Linked DNA regions of Schizosaccharomyces pombe. The main gene of each other region encodes a partner of the protein of the gene in region 3 in a complex. Each region holds a gene or a part of one and is shown on either strand. Other genes may lie near its edges. The genes, in order: snf22, ssr4, arp42 and rsc7.

Region 1 (8,019 bases), on a different chromosome or scaffold from region 3:
CGTGAAGATGAATTGCAATTCTCATTTGCGTGGTATCAAACGAACCCGCAAGTTAGGCAGCTCTACATACGACTCCAAACAGAAACCGATTACAGAATTTTGTAGCAAGCTAAATTAAAAATGTGTGTAACTATTCACCTTTAATTAAATTAAGACATCATTTGTAACAGGTGAAACACAAATCTATACTCAAGTATATCAATGCTTTTTTAATTGTTGAAGTAATCTTCTGTAATAAATAAAATTGAATTCTTTTAAGAAATAAACATATATATTATACAGGCTTAGACATTTAGAAGAATAACTCGTGATTGACTAAGTCTTCACTGAGCTTTGAAGTCGCAATAGTCCTCACCTAACAAAATGTACCAAAATATTATAAACAAGGCATTAAAATAAAACGACAAAAGGTAAAACGTTAGTCCTACTCCGAATAAGAAGAAGAAGAATCTTCATAAGTAATAACTTTGTCATCTTCGGCGCTTACTATACCAGAATCCAACGGTAGCTCTGCTTCAGAGTTTTCCAAAAAGACAAGAGATGCTTGTTCCTCATTTAAAGCCTCTTCCTCATATGCATGCAAAGAATTGTTTTTTTCTAAATCTTCAATCACCTCCTTTAGAGTTTTTTCCATTAATTTTGCATCCTCGTAAACAATTGAATGCTCTTCATTATAGGTATATGCATTATTAAACATGAGCATAAAATCTGCAATCAGTTCTCCAACATCTCCATAACGGTCATTCTTAATATTCCTTTTAATTTTTCCAAGAGCTATGGGTCGTTTAATTATTATATAGTAATCAGGGTAAAGTTTGCGGTTGGGAGGATAAAGGAAAAGACCATTAACGAATCTGCCGTCTTCACTTTGAAGATTATACAGCCTTTCAAAGATTTCCATACAATATCTTCTAAGTGCCTTCTGCTTATATGAAGGTGTATTTTTTCGACCACTTCTGGCCAAACTGGATTCTTGTGATAAAGGGGTTGATAGACTAGAGCCTGAGTTTGTTTTTTTTCTCGGTCGACCTCTTTTACGCGGCATTAGAGTGGAAGATGGATCGTCAACTGTATTTAATTCGTCGAGGGTTAATTCCGTATAACTGATAGAATTACGACGACGTCGCTTTCTTTCGAGATACTGATCCTCCAACTCACTAGAGCTTTGAACTGCAAAACTGTCAACCTCGACTTTATAAAAGTCAGGAAGTTCATTTACAGTAAGTAAACGTTCCAGCGGTTTACCTTTACCATATATATCGGTAGCTGCACGTTCTTTATCTAATTTTTTAAAAAGTACGAGCTCTTCATCTGTTCTAGAAATCAACTCGTTCAACTCATCATCTTGAAGTTCGCCGTAAGTTAAGTCATGATCATCGTCGCCATCATGTTCAAGTAAAGAACGTAAAAAAGCTTCACGCTCCTCAGGTGTAGACTTGTTGTCAAACTTACCAGCTTGGATAACTTTTCCATCAAGGTCAAGCTTATACTGAGCTCGAGAAAGAATGTTCTCTTCAATAGACTTTTCCGTGATCAAACGGAGAATTCGCACCTCTTTGGTCTGCCCGATACGATGAGCACGATCTTGAGCTTGCAAATCCTGATGGGGATTCCAATCGGTATCAAAAATTATGACAGTGTCAGCAGTTTGTAAGTTGAGACCCAACCCACCAGCACGAGTACTAAGCATGAAAATGTAAACATCTGACTTTGGATCGTTGAACTGTGCAAGAAGGGAGCATCGATCGTCAGATTTTGTTGAACCATCTAAACGAAGATATTTCCAATTCTTTGATCGCAAATAATCCTCCATTATAGTCATGATCTGAGTCATTTGAAAGAACATAAGGGTTTTATGACCTGTTAAAAACAGCTTTGGAAGAATACGATCTAACAGCTCAAACTTGCCAGCAGCTCTCCAAAGCAAGTCGACGTTAGTTCCGGATGGATCGATGGCTCTTTCAACATCTTCAAATATGAACGGATGATTGCATATCTTCTTAAGTTGCATAACCGTGTTCTGTAGTCCTTTAATACCCGTTTTTCCTTTCTCACCATCCACAAAAAGCATACCATGCTTCTTCATTTGTTGGTACAATTTTAATTGCAAGCCTGAAAGAGGGCACTTGATGACTTTCTCAACCTTGTCGGGTAGCTCCTTTTCGACGTCTTTTTTAAGTCTTCGGAACAAAAATGGTCGAAGGACTTTATGCAAACGTTTTATAATAAGTAAAGCTTCTTCTTCATTAAGCCCTATTTTATCTTGTCCACCAGTATTAGCAAAAGGTGTATTGAACCATTCATCAAAACTTTTAATTGAATTGAAGATTTTTGGTAAGACAAAGTTAAGAAGAGCCCAAAGCTCTGGTAGGTTATTTTGCAAAGGTGTACCAGTCAAAATGAGACGATACTGGGAATGATAATAAGTAGATAAAGTACTCGTTAACTTTGATTGGGTATTTTTTATACGGTGCCCTTCATCTATAATCATGTGAACCCATTTAATCCGAGAAAGTAAAGGACGATCCTTAATGATATATTCAAATGTGGTGAGCAAGACGTTGAAATTGCTAGATCGGATTTGGGATTGTAATGTTTTTCTCAATTGCGGAGGGCCTTTATAAGCTATTTTCTTAACACTGGGAGCCCATTTTTCGAATTCCATAATCCAATTTGTTAGAGTAGACAATGGTACTATAATAAGAAATGGTCCTTGCTGATTTTTTTTCTCAATCAAATATGTGATAAACGCAATAGTTTGGATTGTTTTACCCAAACCCATCTCGTCAGCCAGGATCCCATTGAGGTTGTTATTGTATAGCGACAACATCCATTCAAGACCCTTCAATTGATAGTCTTTTAGAGTGCCACCAACAAAAATCTTTGGCTGCTCAACCTCTTCATGAATACGGTGAGCCACTTTAAAATAATCAAGATTCTTATCTTCCTCACTAATTGGGGCTTCTAATTCGGCAGAATTGCTACCTTTTCCAGAAGTATTTCCACTGTGAATATTGGATTGTTGAATCCGGACGGCACGTGTAAGATTTTCCAAATACTGATCAGTTTGTTTTAAAAGATGAGTGATACGAGTATCTTTCGCCTTGTCTAGTAACTGCAAATATGCGGCTTCGTCATCAGCACGGAGAGCCTGTAATCTTTGACGAGCACTACGTTCGATTCGTTTTTTCTCTTCCTTTTCTAGATGGGCATGAAAATTTATAATATCCTTGCATCGCTGAGTTTTAGCTTTATTCTGCTTGTCCACTTTTGTCACAATTGACTTTCTGTGCAGCATGATAGACCTTAGGTGAGTTAGAAGCTTTTCTTTTTGTCTCATGGCATGTTCGGTTTTTTGTTTCTCAGCAAGGGCTAAAACTAAATTGGCTTCTTGCATCGTTTGCCGTTTCACGTTTCGAAACATAAGTCTTAAATTTCCTGCAGCCAAACTATCCGAGTGAGGAATGACTGAATTTATTGTCTCGCGTAGAGATCGTTGTTTTTCTAATAAACGCAGACAACGCAACTCAATCATTGATTTTGACTTGTCTTGTTGCAATATTTTTTTGTTCACCGACTTTGGCCTGTTCTCCTTTTCTAGAAAATCAATTCTGTTAGCAATTGAACAAGCAATTGCAATCTCAGAAGAGAGAAAAACATCATCCCATGATATACTAGGAGGCAAGAGTGATGGGATGAGCGATAGGTTTTCCGAAGAGGAAAACTTACTGAAGGGAATAGGCGTTTTAACATAAGTTCTTGGATCTACGCAAGAAGAGTAGTTGACGTTTGTGGGAAACTGTGCTCTTTTAGCAACCTCGGTTTTTCCAGTCGACTGTTGTAACGGCATAGGTGAAACTGATGGTTTTGCAAGAGACTCATTCTTGACAGGAATCGTAGCAGAATAGGCTCGTCTTTGAAATTGATTTGGAATATTCTGAATGTAGGGTGCCTTAGAGGTACGCATGTTTGCATCTCTTGTAGGAGTATCCTTCTTTACAGACGACATTTGAGGAACGTTTTGCTGAAATGGCATTGAAGGAGAAACTTCATTCGAAGCTCCATAGACCCTGCCAAATATGGCTTGTTGCACAGCAGGAGGGACTTGTCCATTTGGGGAATTCAAACAGTTATATGCAACTATCTGACTTTTCAGCATAGCAAGTTGAGCATGATTAAGTTTGGAAGTAGGAGGCACTTTTGCAGAAGGTACGTGAGATTGTGTTTTTAAAGCTGATGCGGAGGGTGAGGGAGACATTCGAGGTATATGCTGCGCAGACTTCACAGTATTTGGATCTACTGAAGGTGATCGAGATGAAGAAGGTTGAAAAGAAGTTGCAGAAGGCGGTAGGTTATTTCTATATACATATGGTGCCGGGGAATTAGAAGAAGATTGAAAGTATGTTTTAGCATTAATAGCATCAAGGTTAGAGGGCTGAGGATAGGGAAAATGCGAACCGGCTGCACCAACGTCTACAGTAGCCGTAGAGTTAAAAGGAGTATTTGGATTTGCGGAAGAAGGGAGCTTCGAATGAGCAAAGGAAGCAGCATCATTCTGATACCCGTTGTATGGAGAAGCCAACATAGAACCAGACGGAGGGGAAGAAGCTGAGAAAGTTGATGGGTTTACAGGTATCGAGCCTCTTCGGCCCATTTGCTGCTGCATCGAGACATTAGCAGGTATATTCCTAGCACTAAAGCTGTGAGAACTTGATGTTGTATCAACTGACGGAGCTCTCGATTGAACTGTATGTGGTTGTTCAAATGTGGACGAAGGGGAGGCAAAGGAATGAGGAAGAGAGGAATTGACAGTAGTGTCGTTAGCAGGTGGATAAGGTGTGGTAGGAGGAAAAGAGTTATTCATACGAGAACCATTTTTCATCATGGATGCCATATCATAAGCATTATGATAAGTGGGATTGGAGGTGTTTTGTTGGGATAGTTGGTTCGCATACACTTTCAAATTATTACTATTCGCATTCGTATTTGTATGTGGATGAACCATACTAGGTGCAGGAGGTACTGAAGTATCCCTTTGTAAAGGAGCATTCATAATGTTTGGCGATGCTTGACTATTCATGTAGGAAGGATTGTTTAATCCGACATTTCCATTGCCAGGGTTAGGAGGGGTTGGTCCATTAGAAGCAGGCCTACCAGGAAGAGTTTGCATACCAGCTTTTCCTTCTGGGAGATTGTTAAATCCTGTAGTAGGAAGAGTATCCTGCTGCTTTCGAAGATTGGTGTTCTCAGCATCAGGAAATTCAGAAGATTGGTTCCGCATCTGCTGCATACGGGCATAATGAGCTCTTTGAACCATCCTTAAAATGGAACTAATTTGAGCAAACTCGGGGTTATTTTCCTCCGTAGCACCTTGGTTTCTCATTACCTGCCATTGTTGATAAAGAGATTGTATATTATCCTTGGTCAACCCTTTCGGAAATTTCTGATTCCCTTGAACAGCAAACATCGGAGAAATGTGTTTTAGTAAATCGCAAATCAATATTACAACAACAATGACCGAAAACCCTCAACGTACAAATGGATAATTTGGTGCACTTAAAAAACAACGAGAGAAAAAGTTTAATAAAGATTACTTTAAAAGAAAAAACAAATCCCTTTAAAAAAAAATTTCAATTGAGTAACTTTGACCTTTAAGAAAGAGATCGCGTCTTTCAACAAAGTATTAAAATTTAAAGCGTTAAAGTATAGAGTGAAAAAAGAAACCAGAAGGACCCAGCTTTAGAAAATATACAGTGTAGAAAGAAAAGAACTTTTTAAATAAACATATAGGCTTCAATTGAATAAATAATAGAGGAAAAAGGGGAAATGTGGGTCTACGAGATTGAAGATGGCGGTTGGTGGCAGGAAGAATAGAAAACAAAAGCAGCACACGGTAGTGAGAAGCAACGAAAAGAGTCTGCAACCTCAATCAATTTGCAAACACAGCAGAGTAAAAGATTAAAAAGCATGGTTTGATTAAAAAAAGTACAATCACCCTAGTGAAGCAAAACTTGAAGGGAAACCGAAGGCCAGCTCATCCTTAAAAAAAAAAAAAAACCCCTCCAGTTTAATTTGACGATTTATGGATCATAATTACGTTGCGTTATATAGTAATAACGTCAACTTTTTTTTTTCGGAAAAGATTAGCATTGCGAAATAAAAAATAGGATGCTAAATAAACTAGCAAACTATGTGTTAGATTGCATAAACGAAGATATAATGAGAGATGCAAAGCGTACTCAAATTCGTTTACCATTGTAGTGTACAGACACTGTTTCGCGGTGAGCTAGCATTCTTCAATTCAATCCACCACATATCCGATATATACGAAATGAATGAAACAGTGAATCAATGCAAATGTGAATGATCAAGATAGAAGGTACATTTTTTCTTGAATGTAGAGAAAAATGTGGGGAAGGTGTATTTGCTAAAAAGTGGATGAGTGAGTTTCAGAGCTTTCGTTCGTTGAACGAAGCAAGCCAAAAAAAATAAAAAAAAGACTCCAAAGAAAATACGAGGGGAATGCAAGCATTTAAAGGAATAAATACTTGCGAATGCGGAAATCGACTTATTCTCGGTATAAACAGACGACGGCACTAATGGGGTTCCCCTGAAAATAAGAAGGTTAAAGACCACAATATACCATCGGCTTGGCAGTCAACAAAACATCCTTGAAATTTTCAAACTTGAAAACTAATAAAAGAGGAAATTAATTAGAATCGTATAGATTAGGATAAGCTGATAAAATGTATCTTATAGAATATATGACAATTACTCATTAACAGTAATTGTAGAGAACTTGGCTATCATAATGCTTTTCCATACAATTTGTTTTAAAAAAGTGAAAGGGAAAGGATTGGAAAATACAGGTAATGAAATAAATATATCAGTACGATAGACGAGGCAGGGAACATTAAATCATTTGCATTGATTTTCCAAATTTTGAATGGTGCAATAACTAATCGGATTGGGAACTCGGCGTAAAGTGGTAAACCAGTAAGTGAGAAAGATGTCTGGATCCGCAAATTTTGTAATCTGTCAAAGGAAGAAGTGGACCCTTTTAGAATGTGCAGTCTAATGAAAATCATGATTTCCTACTTAACATAAGAGAGTATATCTTTCCCATGAAAAATGATTCAAAGAGACCACTTGCAAAACTTACCAACCCAAAAGCAATTTCAGGTCTGGTTTTAGTAGCAGTATATATTGGTTAAAAGGTTTTGAAAGGAAGATGTATTTGTATTTCCTGAATCATATGCATGGATTCATTAAGACATGCATACTATCAAGGAGGAAAAAGGATGCTGTAAGACATAATTAACTATGGGTCACTATCGTAATGGGATAGATGGTTTTCGGGGATTAAAAGCATGTAATTAATTTTCCTACTCTGCTGATAATCAATTCCCAATACCATATATGAATTTCGAAATCCTTTGGTTTACTTTCAATCATCTGCCTAACTTAACATCGAAAATTCGGATCTCATCAACCGCAATTAACTTCTGCTACCTTTTTTGCCCATCTGTCCAACCTGCCTAAATGTATTTTTTTTTTATTTGCCTAATTGCGTTCTCTATATACACTCGCTATATGCTCTACTGTAGTAGGTCCACGTACGCTATTAATTAAGTTTCCACACTTGCTTGCAATTGAATAGGTTATTTCTCAGCACACAACTCACAAATCCTCGTTATATATTGCTACGTACTCCGTAGATTTGCTTAAACCATGGTTTAACTAGAGTGAATTCTGTGGCATAGAATGAACGATAAATGTAGTTTAGTGTTTTTTCCACATAATCCTTCATACTCTGCATTCAACCAGATGAAAGTAAAGAACAGGAGCGAGTGATATAAGCGGGATCATCGCAAAAATATATACCGTACAGATTTAATAATTTCTATTATGTCTGTCAGCTATGCAACTCGGTATCTGCTTTAACGTTACGTAAAAGAGCGACGAGCTTCATTGCGATCTACTATATGATGGCATGCAATATATAATTGTAACAGATGA
Region 2 (4,375 bases), on a different chromosome or scaffold from region 3:
CCTGCGATTGCAGCAGCAGCAGGAAAGCCCCAATCACTGTATAAGGGAAGTAATTGCTCATACCCAAGAAACTGTACAGTGTTTGCTGGCAAGAGCATTGTCAATGAAGGAACTAATCCACGCCACAAGCTTCTAACACCTTCATGCCGAGCGATCTGATAAAGTCCGGATACCGGGCCTCCTAAAGGCTTTGGAGCTGGCCTTCCCTTCCCCAATATCTTTGCTGAAGAAATGGGTTGCGTAGAAGAATATTGAGAAATAGATTCACTCTGCAAGCGGGTTTTCACAACATCTAAAGGCGTTACAGTCAGCGTTGTAATTACACTTCCTACACAAGCTGACAGCATTTTCGCTATAGGCTTCACATCGGGCTCAGCATTCACCGACAAGTCAGCTTCTACGCCTTCTGTCGCAGCTCCTATCTGCATGTATTCTCTCTGACTCTGTTTGTGTTCCTGTCATCTTCATTACGAAGCACCGTCCTTTCATCTACGAAGTCGTAGTTAAACTTCATTAAACCAAATAACGTTATGCAATGCACTATCATATATCTGGTCTGAGAGTTCTGTCTTAATAAGGTAGAAACGGCTATGGTACTTAGAACAGTCAATTGAATGAAGATGTCGTATCTACGAAGTGGGTGTGTGATGATATGCCTATTACTACTTGCTAATTATTAGAATCGTAGGGTTTCTTGCAGGTGCGAGTTTGAGCTATGCTGCCGGGGTCCAGGCATTGATTTCCACCAGTAAACAGAACAAAGACGAGCTCTTAACTGCAACTGAAGCGTTAGAAACTGATAAACAACTTTATAAGAAAATAGAAAAAAAGATTGAAGAATTAGAGTCAAGCTGTGTCAAAAAAAGTAGTTGGGAAATTCAGGAAAGCGAATGGAAGGCTATGTTCCAGACAATGCGTGTTGAATACTTGGAACTACTGGAAAAACAAAAGACTCTAGGGGAAGTACTAAATAAGCTTGTTGAAGATCGGCAAACAAAATTCCAGTTTTGATATGAAGCGCATCGTCCTTATACTATGTATGAAATTATTCGGAACCATACTCTTAACTATCTACCTGTCATTATAAAATATTTCATTTTTCTGTCACCTTCACCCAATCCTCCTAAAACAAGGTAAAAAAATTCGATGTAGGAATATCAGTGCTTGTTTGTTTACCCTAATGACAATGGCATTCTATCATTAAGCGACAAGGCTTTAAAGTAGGACGTACGTACTTTTCAAATCTTCTTTCTGATTAGCCTCAACATGTTTTTTCTATACTACACTTTAAATCTTCTATGATCTTTCCGTAACGTGACTTAAAGGAACGATTTTGGCTTCAGCGAACTCCTCAATTTTTTTTTGTAAGACATCACATTCTTCTGCCGACTTGATGTTGGAAAATTCTTTTAATAAGTTGGACATGCTATCAGTGTAGGAAAGATCACCTTGGAGACTTTGATACTTCTGATCTTGTTTTACAAGTTGCTCCTTGTTATCTTTCAACTCTTTACCAAGTTCTTCCATTGAATTAGGTTCTTGCCATAGTGCTGGAGGTTCGATGTCTTTGACTGATTGAAGTGTCAAAAGTACTTGACTCATCCATTCTGCGTGTTTGATAAATCGAGCCGTACAAATTTGTTGCGGAGAAAGTTTATCCATAACATCACCCTTTTCAATCTCTAAATCCTCTTGCATTAGAATTGAAGTATTGCCATTTGGAGGAATGGATGGCTTGTTCATGTTATCGACTGTCATATTCGTTGCACCCATGTGTCCTTCTGCAGTCTGTGCTGTTGCATTAGAATTGATAGGAGGAACAGGAGACGTAGTAACATTAGAGAACGATGGAGTCCTTGATTGGGACTTCATCTGAGCAGATCCCATATTTGGCAAGGTTTCTCTCTGTGATAAAGCTGTACCTTCTGGAATATGTTTTTTTGGTTCTTGAAGCAAAAATGGAGAAGTTTTAACGTCTGGTAAAGGGTATCGTCGTAAATGAGGTGGTTTGGCAACTGATATATTCGCAGGAATGCTATCAGTTTCTGAACCTTGAAAATAGTGTACAAGCCAAAAATTATCAAAACCAACTCCTAATAATCGATATCGGCATCTAACATGCATAGTTCGAGTTTCAGATAGTGGATAAAAACCGTGTTTTGCTTCATGAATTTCTAGTACCTATCGTATTGTATTAGTAAACTTATAAATTCAGTAAAATAATAATTTATTTGAAGCATTTATTTTAAAATAAACGGGGATACACATATGCAAGTTCCTAGACAATTGCTTAATGATCCCTTATACCGCAGTGCTTGTGAGCAACTTACCTTTCCTGCAACGTCCATATTAAAAAACCTTTCATTGCTCATAAAATGCATTCCATCTGGTGGAGATGGTAATGTAGGTGCTTGCCAAACTAAAAACAAGGAACCATCTGGTGGTTGATCTATGAGAGTCCAAGAAAATGAAATCTAAAATTTGTTAGAAAAAACATATATTGAAGTCTTCTAAAAACTACCTGTGGTAAAGCCTGGGACGCTTTTGTTAATATATCTACGACAGCAGGGATTGGTAATTGTGGTGCTGGTGGATATGGTAAATTCGCTCGACACCATACCTGAGATCGGTATTCCACTGGAATCGATAATAGACTCTGAGCTGCCATTGTAGCCGCCATTGTTGATTTTAATTATATGTAAGTTTTGGATGGTACAACTTACTCATATCTATCAAGATGCAGAAGTTTTGGCTTTGTTCTGTTGCACTATTTCATATAACGATGTTACATCAGTTTTCACTGTTTAAATGAAATTTCTAATATTTACAGTATCTATACGAAACTCTAGGTAATGTATAAACATACTCTAGTGTCTCTGTGTTCATTACAACTATCTTGATCAGATCCGTTTAACCATCGTAGAATCGTAAATAGCTAAACAAGAGCATGAATGTAAAGACATACTTAAATAGTAACAGTTAGCTGCTAATCATTAGTAGACAATATGCCAATAGACATGCAATGTATAAGTGATGGTTTTCGTAAAATTAAATGAGATGTCCATAAAAAAGTTCATAAAAATCCCAAGGCTTTTCTTAACAGACAAAGGATTCTATAGCCATTAATTATTTGAGCTTATAAGCTCCTCCAGTAAACTCCAACTTTTCCTCTTTGATCATTAATGCTAGAAATTCTCTTAGCTCGCTCTGGGTACGAGTATAGCCGTTTGGCGGTGGGATAAACATCGTGAGCATGTTGTGAATTCGTTCAAGCTCAAGAGCTCCAAGGTTCGTCAACATTCCTACAACAAAAGACCTTTTTTTATTAATTACAAATTTTAGTTTTAATAAAGAAACATACCAGTAAACACGCATCTCAGCGGCACTGCTTTCGGCTTCACTTTGAACAGCTGATACCCCTTGGATTTCATCAAGTACAGTTTCTGTCGCGGTTTCGGCTTCAGTTTCACGAACACGATATCGGTCGTCGCCGATGTCGGTAAGCACTCGATGATGAAGCCAAAATTTCAAATGTCGCTCAACTATTTCTTTCGGCTGATCTAAAAGTTCAGCAGCTTTCTCAATATGTAATGTAGAAGTCTCTTCAAAAAGTGATATAAAGGCAGCTTGCTCCGGTGTAACTGTCAACGTGAGTGTTCTATCCTCAAGCTCAATTTCCAACTCTACCGATCCTAAGTTGGGTAAAAAAACAAGCTCCCTTTTTCTCTTTCTTTCTCTGTATTCTTCAGCATATGCATCGAGTTCTTTTTTCAGAGGGCCAGGTAAATGAAAATATCGAACAGACAAAGTAGGCCAAAATAATCTTGATAAAATAGTTACGTGCAAACCTTTCGAAACATAGTTCTCCATGTGGATGCTCTGATCAATAAATCTTGAATTCTCAATATCGTTCAGCATAACACTACACATTTGCAGAACAGTCTCTCCAAATCGATACTTTAAAAACTCTATATTTTTTGCCTAAAAAACGTTAGAAAATTCAACTTAAATAGAATAAAACAAACCTCAACTTCATAATGATAATCTGTAAGTTGTAAAAGTCGATCAGCTAGTAACAATTGTAATTCCTTCACTAAGGGCTCCTTGCTTTTAAAAATGGAAATGAGACTTCCAACAACGTCTCTATCGGTTGGTTTTTTAAAGTCAGGAGCCGCATCAATCGGATCCGGCATCCAGTGGTAATTATCAAATCGATCCGTTGTTGAGTCGATGTTTTCAGTGGGAATTTGAGAAAGCTCAGAGCGTAGGCCTTTTTCACCGTCAACAAACAATAAGGAAACCAAGCATTTATATGCATCTTCTCGTTCATTTAGAAAAGAACGAATGGGTTTGGCAGCTTTGTCTAAAAGAACAC
Region 3 (5,186 bases):
AACAAAACAATCTAAGTACACCTATGATCGCGGCACCACTGCAGTTCTGAAAGAGGACATTTACAAGTTCGTAACTGTTCAAGATCTTGATGAAATGCAAGTTGATGTATAGATTTTGCATCTATAAGGCTTACTATAAGGCCATGATACCTATATGTTGCAGCTCCTCTCGCTGATTATCGTTTTTATGTTCTATTTGAGATTTAAATAAAGTTTTTCTGATGCTTCACAAAATTTGATTATTATAGAAAACTATTTTTACTACTCTCCTTACGGCAACGCATTTCTTAAACTTTCGTCTGAGTAAATAGATAAAATTGTTACGTTTGTTGGTAAAAAGCCTACCATGTAATGACAAATATGAGATCATCAAACCTCAATAATCTAATTACTAAGTGAGCGATACATATCTACTTCGTTTCAGTTTTGAAACTGTGCGAGTTCGTTGGTTTAAACCGAGTCCATCGTTTGTTAGTGTTGCTTATATGCATACTCTTTACAATAACCAACTGTGATAAATCAATAATTATAACTGTTATCAATTGTGAAAGCATAAAATAATATGAAAACTTGTAGATTTCTATATTTCAAAAAATTGATTGCATAGCGAAGAATAACGCACTTCTTCCTACGTAGATGGAACACCGTTGTATGCAGCAATATCCAAATTGCCAACTAAGAGATATCCAATATGGACTCTGGTACATCAGTGGTTTCAATTTCAGCGGACATTCTTCGACCTCCCGTTTTAACAGCTGCCCAAACTTTTGGAGACAATGAAAATGAATGTCGCGTTCGATTAGTGTTAACTGCTCAGCAAGTCCAAGAATGGAATTTGTTACCGCAGGATATTCAACAGGAAATATTAAAAAATGGCCAAGTTCGTGTAGAGACATACTCTTCTTCAAATACTGCTAGAAAGATATTCATATGCACTTCAAGTGTTTCAAACCTTGCTTCTAGTATACCTGCACTTATAAAAGTTGTCACTCCTACTAAAGAAGAAGACGCTTCCTTGAACATCAATTTAGCAGTATCATCTTTAATATTGGGTTCAAAAGTTCTGATTCACCAGAACTTAATTCCTTCTTTGTTTTCTGTTTCCAATTCAACCAAGCTTTTATACTCAGCATCTCTCCTACCCAGATCCTCTGAAAGACTGGTTACCTTGGAAACTAATGAAATAGATGCTTCAGTTGTTATTGAAACTTTATTAAAATACATCCTTTCAAGAATTTCTTTCATTCCCCGCGTTAGCGTTGTACCTTACATTCCAGATGCTGCATATGGCATATATGGTTCGCCTTCTACTTTTACACAATTTAATCATATGAGTAGTATGGTAACACCTGAAAACCCTTATGGAATCCCTCCTATAGCTCTCACTAGTGCCGGAGGAAATCCTGATCCCCTTCGAACCACTCAAGTATTTCCTCACTCTGGACCCTCGATTCCTTTAAATATAGCTGCAACCCAAGTCGTATCTCAGAAAATGTCCGTTCCATCTTCTTTACTCGATCAACTTTATCACGCTATGGTAAGCTCTTATAAATATTTCAGATAAGTATACTAACTATATTGTTCTAGCCTCATAAACTGATGGAAATATCTCAGAATACAAATGCTAACATAACTGTTGAGGAATCAGACTCAAACAGCAATGAGAAGTTTATTTCGGTTGTTGGTACCTCGGAAGCTAATCAATCTGCTTTAATGCAACTTTATGCTGCTCTTATATCGTTAGGCAGAAAGTAAAAAAAAAAGCTTTAGAATGTTTCTGACAATTTTGCTTGAAATTAGAATTGTTTCATACATTTATGTTAAATTAGATTTAATAATTAATTCGAAGCACTTTGGGTATTTGATTTTGTTATATACAACGTTGATAAAGCTCAGCAAAAAAGAAAGAATTATGGACGTGTTATGCGAGATTTCGTAAATTTATTTTATACTCTCTTGGGTTTTGAAGACTTTATTTTTTGTGAGCAAATAACACAGGCGGATTACTTGCATCTTTTCTCAACAAACAAAGCTCTGTCAACACCTACTTCATCGTACTCTTGCTTAGATACCCACAAATGTTGAAAATTATCCAAACTAGCAAGAATTGAGCCACCAAACCAAACGGCGTTGCTTGTGGCAGAAGCGGTTTCTGCGGTATGAACATTGATGCGACTTCCAGTAGCCAACCGCTGAACCTCAGCTTGTAACCTTTCTGATAATCCAGGTATTAAGGAAGTTCCTCCGGTAACTACAATGTTGTTCAATAGAGGAGAACGTAATTCAGAGTCGCAAGCAAGGATGGATTGATAAACAAGTTCATGAAGACCCACGGAACCCTGTGGAGGCGTTGTTTCAGCACTTCTGCTGGCTGAAAACGAGGGATTAAAGAGTATTTCACTAATGCGAAACCTCTCTTGACCAAACTTATGTGTAACCCCATCCGGAAATTCAAAAGGCTTAGGGTTTCTAGAGGATGCTTTTGCTTCATCAAACGGGGTATCCAAAACATCTAAAACGCTTTCTTTCCATTCTTCTATGACCCTACGCTTCTGAAAAATTTCGTAAGAAGAGGTAAGATCTTGAATAGGTGGATACAGTACAGCTGGTTTCACGGCATCTGCGCTGCCGTTAGCCATATTACCTGATTGTTGAATGGCAACCGATTTTCTAGCAATTCTATAGTGTGGAGGAAATTCTATGTTCATAGTATTAAACAATTGCTCAATATTAGCATTCAAAAAGTCGCCAGCTAAACTTTGTTTAAAAATTCCTTTGCGTATAATCAATCCATCGACAACAGGAGTAACGCTAGCATTATCTGAGCCTATATCGACAATTAGCGCTGTAGATTTGCTATTGGCAAATGCCACGCAAACAGCTTGTTTTGTCAAATAAAAAGCAGGAACATGAAGTTGCTCGAAAGCAGCTTCCATGATTTGTTGTCTAACAGATTGCGGATTCCAGCTAGGCTCAGTAATCATCATAGCATACTCTGTGGGATTTACCTGTAGTTTTTCTTTCAGTCCACGCTCCCACGTGTACAAAGTAGATTCCCAATCTTGTATAATCCCATTACTTTTTCCGTTTTTGACTTCCATTCCTGGGATAGGAGCATGAATTTGTAACTCATCAACAACATATTTATTTCGACCAGTCACATCAGATCGAACACCGTAATATGAAGGTAAGATAGTCATCGGACTTTCTTCTCCTGCATAACCAAATCTTGTCCAACAACTCCCAGGATCTATTACCAATGACGGAATTTCCTCTAAAGTATGGTCATTAGCCATTTCATGCCATTGTCTTCGTCTCAACACATATTATGGTTGATTAACCGCACTTACCCATGTCTATGTAAATAGTTTAGTATAGTTTTAAATGGATAAAATATCCTTTTAGTAGATGCAGGAATTATATAATTATTAGTCTCGTAAACCTTAGTTTCGTGTGTTGGATAGCAATACTATATAAAGAAATTTAATGCATCGTTGAAAGTGTTAAGGCGTTCAGTAGTCGTGAATAGTGAACTCTACAATTTACGGCTTTTTTGATCATATACTTTAGAAATATTCATTTATTTGTTTCTTAAGCCATTGAACTAGTTAATGTTTTAAAACAATGCAGAAGCGAAAAAGTAATTTTCTGTCTTTAATATTTATGGAAAACTTCGAAGTAAGCCAACTTGAATAAGCAGTTTTTTTGCATTAATAGCTACGTTTTCTATTTCATAGTATTAGTATTTCATTAAAACTTTAAAACAAATGATAGTGTTTTAAAAAGCTAATAGGTAGCTCTCTCTATGTGTTGTTTTGAAATGGTTACATAATTTTGAAACGAAAAGTAATGCTTCAGTTTTTCATTAGCTCCCTTGCCATCATGGTGATCCACCCATACCAGCAGCCATAGCTAAGTACCAGGTTTTACTAGCTCCGTTATCAATTTTATCAGCAGTAAAGGTACTGGCAGCAAAGGTATTGTATGCAGTTTTTGGATCGTAAATTGCATAATTGGACCATAAAATACCAGTCCAATTGTTTGAAAATGTATTTATTATCGGAGCAATTTTGGCGTTCCAGTCTTGTTGAACGTAAGATGGAGAACGAAGGTATCCGCTGATAGGCGTAGTTGGAATCATGTGAATGCCTTGTTTACAATATTCTTCAGCTGAAAAGTAAGTTGCATAATCAACTTTGTTCATGAATGTAATTCCTGTCACGTAATTGCCGAGAATTTGTGAAGGCTGTACTGAAGTAGTGGGTGTCATGTATATGTAGGTATTTAAACTGTTCTTTAGGACGGCGAGCATCAAGTTTGCACGGTTGATAAGAACAGTATCATTTCTCACCATACCCCACAATTTCGTTGCATACAGAAAGTTGAAGTCTTCTGAGGTTGACTCTTCATCTTTACCGTCTCCACTTTCAAATATACCTGTTGCCCATGAATGTCCAACAAACCAGTCGAAGTTTCTAAACATAGCAAAATAGGTGTCACTTTCACTTGGATTTGCACTGTCTCTTAATAAAGCATTTACATAGCGAATGTTATCATTAACCAGCCAGGAAGGATCCAATAGACCAATTACCGCACATGCGTAAATATGATAACCCCAGTGAAAATGATGGTCATTATAGTAGGTATTACCATAATCTGCTAAAGGAGAACTATATCCTGCCGTACTGATGATACCTTTATATGTGGTATCATAAACGAGGGGATACATTTGCGTATTCGTAGTAAATCTAGCCATGGCTTGCTTCAATTTTGTCAATCCAGTGTTAGTGAGAGTGCTATCACCAAGGATTCTAGAAGCTACCAAACAAACTTGAGCATACATGGCTACTATTTTTCCAGACGTGTACATTGAGTCAAGGTTACTGGCATTTACGACATCGAAGTTAATATCAGTTGCACAAGCTGCACGAATCGCGGCTAAAGCAGTAGGAGAATACGTATTGCTTCCACCATTCCAAGGAATTGGTAAAAAACCTACCTGCGTTGGAAGATTTTTTTCGATTAAATGCCAAGTTTTAGTAGCATAGGCAAACATTATACCCATTGTTGTACTGGCTAAGCCTAAACCTGTTTTGTACGCTTGAGTGTCAGAACCAAAACTTTGCATATGATGGGGAAGAGCAAACATTAGCGGATTTAAGTTAGTATATCCAGCTGTAGCGAAA
Region 4 (5,492 bases), on a different chromosome or scaffold from region 3:
AGTTTTTCTGTTTAATTCTTTTAACAACTAGCAATAATATAATGCATTTTTAATCCTTTTAAAATTCTTTATAAAAAATCTGTTTTGTATGATGATTGTTAATTAAAGTAATGAATGATTATTTGGGTTTTACAGCGGTAGTCGTTATTGAATGAATACGATGTAGGGATTTTGAATAGAGTCGTTTTCGAAAGTAACTCTTTTTACTTCAGTCAACTTACAGTGCTTAGACTTTTAATTTCTCATAATTAAACAATTTAAATTATCAACACAAAACAGCTTGTCGAGACGAAATGAGTATGGTAGTTAAAACTTTGAAAATTCGAGATTCTCGTTTCTTTTTTATTATTATTGCTTATTTAATTATCTATTTTTGTTTCATCTCAAGTTATAAAAGTTAAATTCTTCTTTATTGCAATTGTAAGCTACTGGACACTATTTATTCTTTTGCACAAAGTTAAAAGAAATTGAGCGGGCATTTCCATTTTTGTTGTTCTCAACAATACTATACAAGTCACTTTACAAAAATGGTATTAGGCGGGATACGTGTACATTTTATTTGTAGACTCAAAATTGTATATAAAAATTCATTCTTCATACTACGGCTTTTTCAGAAATCTCTCAATATTCATCTAGCTCATGTTTTTTGCAAAGAATATTGAGTTTATAAGTACCAAAAATAAACACGACACAAACAACTATGAAGTTTATGCTGTTCAGTATTATGTCAGTTCCGGCAGACGGCGTGCTCCAACCTTGGTCCACTGTTAACTTTATACAAAATATGAGCAAGATGAATGCACTTTAAAAATTTGAAGGTCCCAAAAATGTAAAATTAATAACATAATCCTCAAATCAATTATTGGCAGCTCCTTAGGTTTTCTAGTCAACCAAATTCCTCATAAGCAATGCCTTGAGCCAAAGAGTCAGACCGATGATGAAAATATATCTAATGATCCTCTATAAATACACTCCAGTCTTTATGACTGAACCTGATCAACGTCACGGAATGAATGCCAAATAAGTTTTATTGCGGTGATTAGCAATTCACATTGAGCTTCTTCCTTCTGAGATTTTTTTTCTTTGGTAATTTCCTAAAAGCTAATTTTGTAAGTTTAACAGCTTATGTGTTCTCATACTTCACCACCCATTCTATGGAAACTTGAATTTCGTTAATTTTTCCATTAAAGCTAGTATGCTGAAGCGTTGTTTCTTAGAAAAACATTGAATAAGGTGACTAAATGATTGAATTTATACGTTATTTTTCTTCAATTTCTGTCCGTCAAAATATCTTGTAAAATAATCCATTACTTCTCTAGTGATTTCAATATCGAACTTTTTAAGAGTATAAAAAATCATGGCAATAATAGATACAATATTGATAGTGTTAAAGATGAAATCGGCAACAGCAACGAGTGATAAATCTGTACCATTTTCCAGATTCGATGATTCAATAGTTACTATAAAAATGATAAAGCGGTAAAGCACATTGTATCCGCAATGAAAAGAGATAAAAACAGTAAAATTATCAGTTTGGTCTTTTATAGAATAATAACTTTGTTTGTCAATCCATTCTCTGCACTCGACGTTTGGAAGTTGTGATCGAAATTCTTGCAGTTAAATGGATCCTCTTGCACTCATTGCTTCGTAATCAAAACAGACTAAGTAAACAAAAAATCTTAGGACACAAGGAAATGGATGAATGTAAAATGCCAAAAAAATCATAGCTTTCAGTCCATAGAAGATTTATTACGTCGAATGATCTCACTATTTAATATTGATGAGATACATTTTGCGACACACCTTGGACTTGAAAATTAGTCCATTCTTTTTTTTTTATTTGTCGTGAAGAGCCATTTTTTTATTTACCGTTCTCGTCTGCTTAAAACGCTCTTTTTTTTTGAAGCACGTTACACGAATATCTACTTCTCTCGGTTTCATCATCATGGCAGGGTACGACAGGATAGCAGTAAGAGGTGAGCTCACATATAAAATGTACACCCAGGCGACGATGAAGAAGTTTATCATTCTTCGACAATTCGGGTATGTTTTCCTTGTCCTCCACTTGGTTGCTTATATTGTCGACCTGGTGTATTATTTGAAGGGATTCAATGGTTTTTTCTTTATAATGTGGATGGTGATCGGTTTTGCTTATTTAATATTCATTATAACAGCAATCGTTCTTCTCACAAATACTCCTTCGCCAAAGCCACGTTTTGACTTACCTAAAGTTTTTAACCTACGACCTGACCATGCCCAATAATTCATCAAACAATCCTCCATAATATTCTTCGCCCTCGGCTGGACCGATTAGGACAAGTGAGAGGATACAAGCTAATCGATTGGTTTCGGTTGGTAAACGTTTCATTCAATGGAAACGTCGCGCCATCATTTCTTTAATAGTTTTGTTGAATGTACATCTGATTTTTGTAGACAATATCTTTTTTTCCGCTTTACTAAGCAAAAACAAAGTACTAAAGTAATTGATTAACAAGTTTTGGATTTCGTTAACGCATGTTTTCTCCGTAAATAACTCGAGTAAGAAGATAATTCGGGCTTACGTCGTACGTGTGATAAATGACTGTATACAATCTGAAAATTAATATTATAAAACATCCAAAACAAAATAGGATTAAAAGAAAACGAGCACTCTAGTACATGCTATTCAAACGAATACTACGAATCTCTTGTTCTTGACGTTTGCGAATAGCCTCTTGAACGTGGAGTGGACAACTCGCATAAACGGAGGGAGGGATATTTGCAATAGACACCTGTGGAGCCACATCCGAGTTAAGAGCAACGAGAATATCCAATTTAGGTGCAGGACATTCCGTACCAGTCTTTGCCTGAATCCAATGGGTTTTTGTAGGTTGGGTATTAAGGGGAACATGCAACAAGTTAGTATGTGGTTCAAAATAACCGATATCCTGTTTTTGAACAAGGTATTTTGTAATATCATTATTGTAAGCTGCAGTTGCTTTAGCATGTTGAAAAAGCCATGTGGCATCTTTTGGAGGTTCCTTTTTTCTTTTTCGAGCAGCTGCAGGCAGCTGAGCTTCTAGTGAAGGCTGCGGGTGATATACTGCACTAGCTCCATGCCAAGCGACGTATTGATTTCGATTGTATGGCATACCGGGAGGAGGCAATTTATCGTCTGGATCAGCTAATTCTCCTTCGACGAAACCACGAGCGCGGAATTCTCCTTCCCAGTAATCGTCTACAATTCGTCGACCACCAACGATGATTCTAGCACCAAATTCACGAAAGATAGAACGAGCAGCAACAATACCTACCGCACGGCCTTTGTAAGAATGAGGAATAATATTTCGTTCAATAAGGTCCCATTTCTCAGAATCATCAACAATAATTTTATGCAGTGAACGATGCTTCAAAAATAATAAATACGAATCTCTATAGCCCATTGCTCTCGCTGGTTCGGTGGAAAGCATATACAATCGATTACCACGACCTAAGCACGTGAACGTTCGACATCTATACTCTCGACCGCCATTCAAATACCCCAATTCATTCACTTTTTTCTCTCCTTCTGGATCTACTACACCAAAGTTTAGCTCATCATCTTCCAAAGTAGCCCGATGTGAGTACAAATCCTTCGGTACTACTGTTGAGCTAGAAGACGGCGCTGAAACTCTAGGGCGAGTATTACGATTTCTACGACGCGTACGCCCAGAGTATTCTTCATCATCATCATCACTACTTCCATATGCGGCGTAACTACCCTTAGGAGGGCGTCCTCTTCGCTTCTTCGAGCTTACCGTGTGATTTGTAGGAGTGGAAGCATCGGAGCCAGCCGTAGAATCCATACTTTAATTGCAAGGTGTTTATTCCATAAACAGTTCAATCTTATCGTACTGAATAGCACTGTGTTAAAAATTGCTTTTTTTGGTGGTGAGTTTGGTTATAGTTAGCACAACTACCACTAAACCCATCCTACTGTTAGTAACGCATACCTTGGTGCTACATGTTATACTGATACAAGCAGCCTACTATTTAGATAACTAAATATCAAAAGCATATTGGCGGAAACAATAAGAGTAAGAATGATGATCGTCTTCCTAGATGCAGGATTGAAAACACCTAAGAAATGAGTAACGATTGTCAGTCGTAGAAGATACTAGCAGTTAAATAAAATACTTTCTACTACACCGCTTTTTGAAGCACCATAATACGTTGGGTTTTCATTGTTGTATTGAATTCAAAAATGAATCTCCAGCCTTGGCAACCAATTCAATGTAAATTCTTATCGCAATTAATAATCGAGCGTAACCTATCTGTAGATAATTCCTATTGATTAAAATAAGTTTCAAGAAAATGATTGAAGCATCGCGCTTATTGACATCTCATTTTGTGCATCGTCGACTAGACCGAAATAACCGTAGACCATCATAATACTTTAGGGTTGAATTTATATCAAGGCTACAATTTCGTTCCTAAATTACTTTATGCAGAGCAGTTGACATTCTAAAAAATTGTGTCACCAAAGTCATGATTATTCTGTGTAAAGGAAGTTTCTGATTATTCAATTATACCCAAAGCTTATTGAAAGTTTTCTTGTTCCTTACACTACCTTACTTTCTATTTTTTACACAGTGTAAGATAAATCACTGACAATAGAGAATAATATATAAAGGTGTGAATAAACTCAAAGACTACAGTCTTAGTTTTTAAAGAAATATTTTATTGTATTGATGCCGATAGGATGACACAGCATGTATACATCTAAATCTAGAGAGGAGTTAAGGTTAAATGCAAATATTAAATAAAAAACTCAAATCGGTGAAGTTGCTAAAATCATGCTCAGATGGAAAGGGTGGATTCAAGTTGTTTGTTGTAACGAAGTCCAAAGATTTGATGTTTATCCAAAACTTTTTTAGCCTCTTCAAGTTGTTCTGAACTCAAAGATTTCTTGAGTGCACTAAGATTGCTCTCAGCTCGTTGAACAGTTGTAGATCCAGGAATAGGAATGATCATGCCTTTTCCGTTTGCAATAATGAAGTTAAGAGCGAATTCAGGCATACTCATACCAAACTTTTGAGCCAATTGCTCGACTGCTTTAAGAAACGGGATATTTTTTTCAAAAACTTTTGGATTAAACTTGTCCATATTCCGTAAGAAGGGAAATGCTTTGATAAAGTCTTTAAGATCTTCAGCAGTCTTGACACGCCCAGTTAAAAGTCCATGACAGAAAGGCGCGTAAGCGATTATTGGGATAGAGAGCTGTGTACAAGTATCGAGAATGCCATTTTTCTCGATATCTCGTGAGAATAGAGAGTATTCGGTTTCGACTGCCGCAATAGGCACGATGGCAAGGGCGCGTTTGATGCTTTCAGCAGAAGCCTCGCTAAGACCGACACATGAAATTTCTCCTGAGTCTACAAAAGCCTTCAATGCTTTCATGGTAGTTTCAATTGGAACTTTGTGATCAACTCGGGCACATTGGAAGAGATCTAGCTTTTTCTTTCCACGTAAAC

The links.
Region 1: arp42 (region 3) and snf22 share a complex: the UniProt entries of both Schizosaccharomyces pombe proteins name them as parts of the SWI/SNF global transcription activator complex.
Region 2: arp42 (region 3) and ssr4 share a complex: the UniProt entries of both Schizosaccharomyces pombe proteins name them as parts of the RSC complex.
Region 4: arp42 (region 3) and rsc7 share a complex: the UniProt entries of both Schizosaccharomyces pombe proteins name them as parts of the RSC complex.

What each region holds. Positions count from the first base shown.
Region 1 is NC_003421.2:2,172,199-2,180,217, forward strand, and holds the start of snf22 (SWI/SNF ATP-dependent chromatin remodeler Snf22), read right to left. Parts: upstream 6,043-8,019; 5' UTR 5,468-6,042; coding exon 425-5,467; 3' UTR 119-424; coding exon of another isoform or gene 1-118. Other genes in the region: SPOM_SPCC1620.13 (phosphoglycerate mutase family protein), read left to right, coding at 1-118. UniProt on the Schizosaccharomyces pombe protein: Helicase. Component of the SWI/SNF complex, an ATP-dependent chromatin remodeling complex, required for the positive and negative regulation of gene expression of a large number of genes.
Region 2 is NC_003423.3:2,002,021-2,006,395, reverse strand, and holds ssr4 (SWI/SNF and RSC complex subunit Ssr4), read right to left. Parts: upstream 2,701-4,375; 5' UTR 2,681-2,700; coding exon 2,522-2,680; intron 2,475-2,521; coding exon 2,331-2,474; intron 2,308-2,330; exon of another isoform or gene 2,182-2,307; coding exon 1,297-2,181; 3' UTR 1,012-1,296; coding exon of another isoform or gene 681-1,011; 3' UTR 641-680; coding exon of another isoform or gene 615-640; 3' UTR 534-614; downstream 1-533. Other genes in the region: mtm1 (Mn(2+) ion transporter), read right to left, coding at 1-428; SPOM_SPBP23A10.17 (uncharacterized protein), read left to right, coding at 615-640, 681-1,011; anaphase-promoting complex cullin family subunit Apc2, read right to left, coding at 3,127-3,316, 3,362-3,981, 4,026-4,375. UniProt on the Schizosaccharomyces pombe protein: Component of the chromatin structure remodeling complex (RSC), which is involved in transcription regulation and nucleosome positioning. Controls particularly membrane and organelle development genes.
Region 3 is NC_003424.3:4,351,823-4,357,008, forward strand, and holds arp42 (SWI/SNF and RSC complex subunit Arp42), read right to left. Parts: upstream 3,439-5,186; 5' UTR 3,355-3,438; coding exon 3,351-3,354; exon of another isoform or gene 3,275-3,350; coding exon 2,004-3,274; 3' UTR 1,756-2,003; coding exon of another isoform or gene 1,588-1,755; 3' UTR 1,538-1,587; coding exon of another isoform or gene 692-1,537; 3' UTR 511-691; downstream 1-510. Other genes in the region: pup1 (proteasome core particle subunit beta 2), read left to right, coding at 1-112; U1 snRNP-associated protein Usp108, read left to right, coding at 692-1,537, 1,588-1,755; cell wall and ascospore endo-1,3-beta-glucanase Eng2, read right to left, coding at 3,881-5,186. UniProt on the Schizosaccharomyces pombe protein: Component of the chromatin structure remodeling complex (RSC), which is involved in transcription regulation and nucleosome positioning. Controls particularly membrane and organelle development genes.
Region 4 is NC_003421.2:1,387,130-1,392,621, reverse strand, and holds rsc7 (RSC complex subunit Rsc7), read right to left. Parts: upstream 3,918-5,492; 5' UTR 3,825-3,917; coding exon 2,652-3,824; 3' UTR 534-2,651; downstream 1-533. Other genes in the region: akr7 (pyridoxal reductase), read right to left, coding at 4,819-5,492. UniProt on the Schizosaccharomyces pombe protein: Component of the chromatin structure remodeling complex (RSC), which is involved in transcription regulation and nucleosome positioning. Controls particularly membrane and organelle development genes.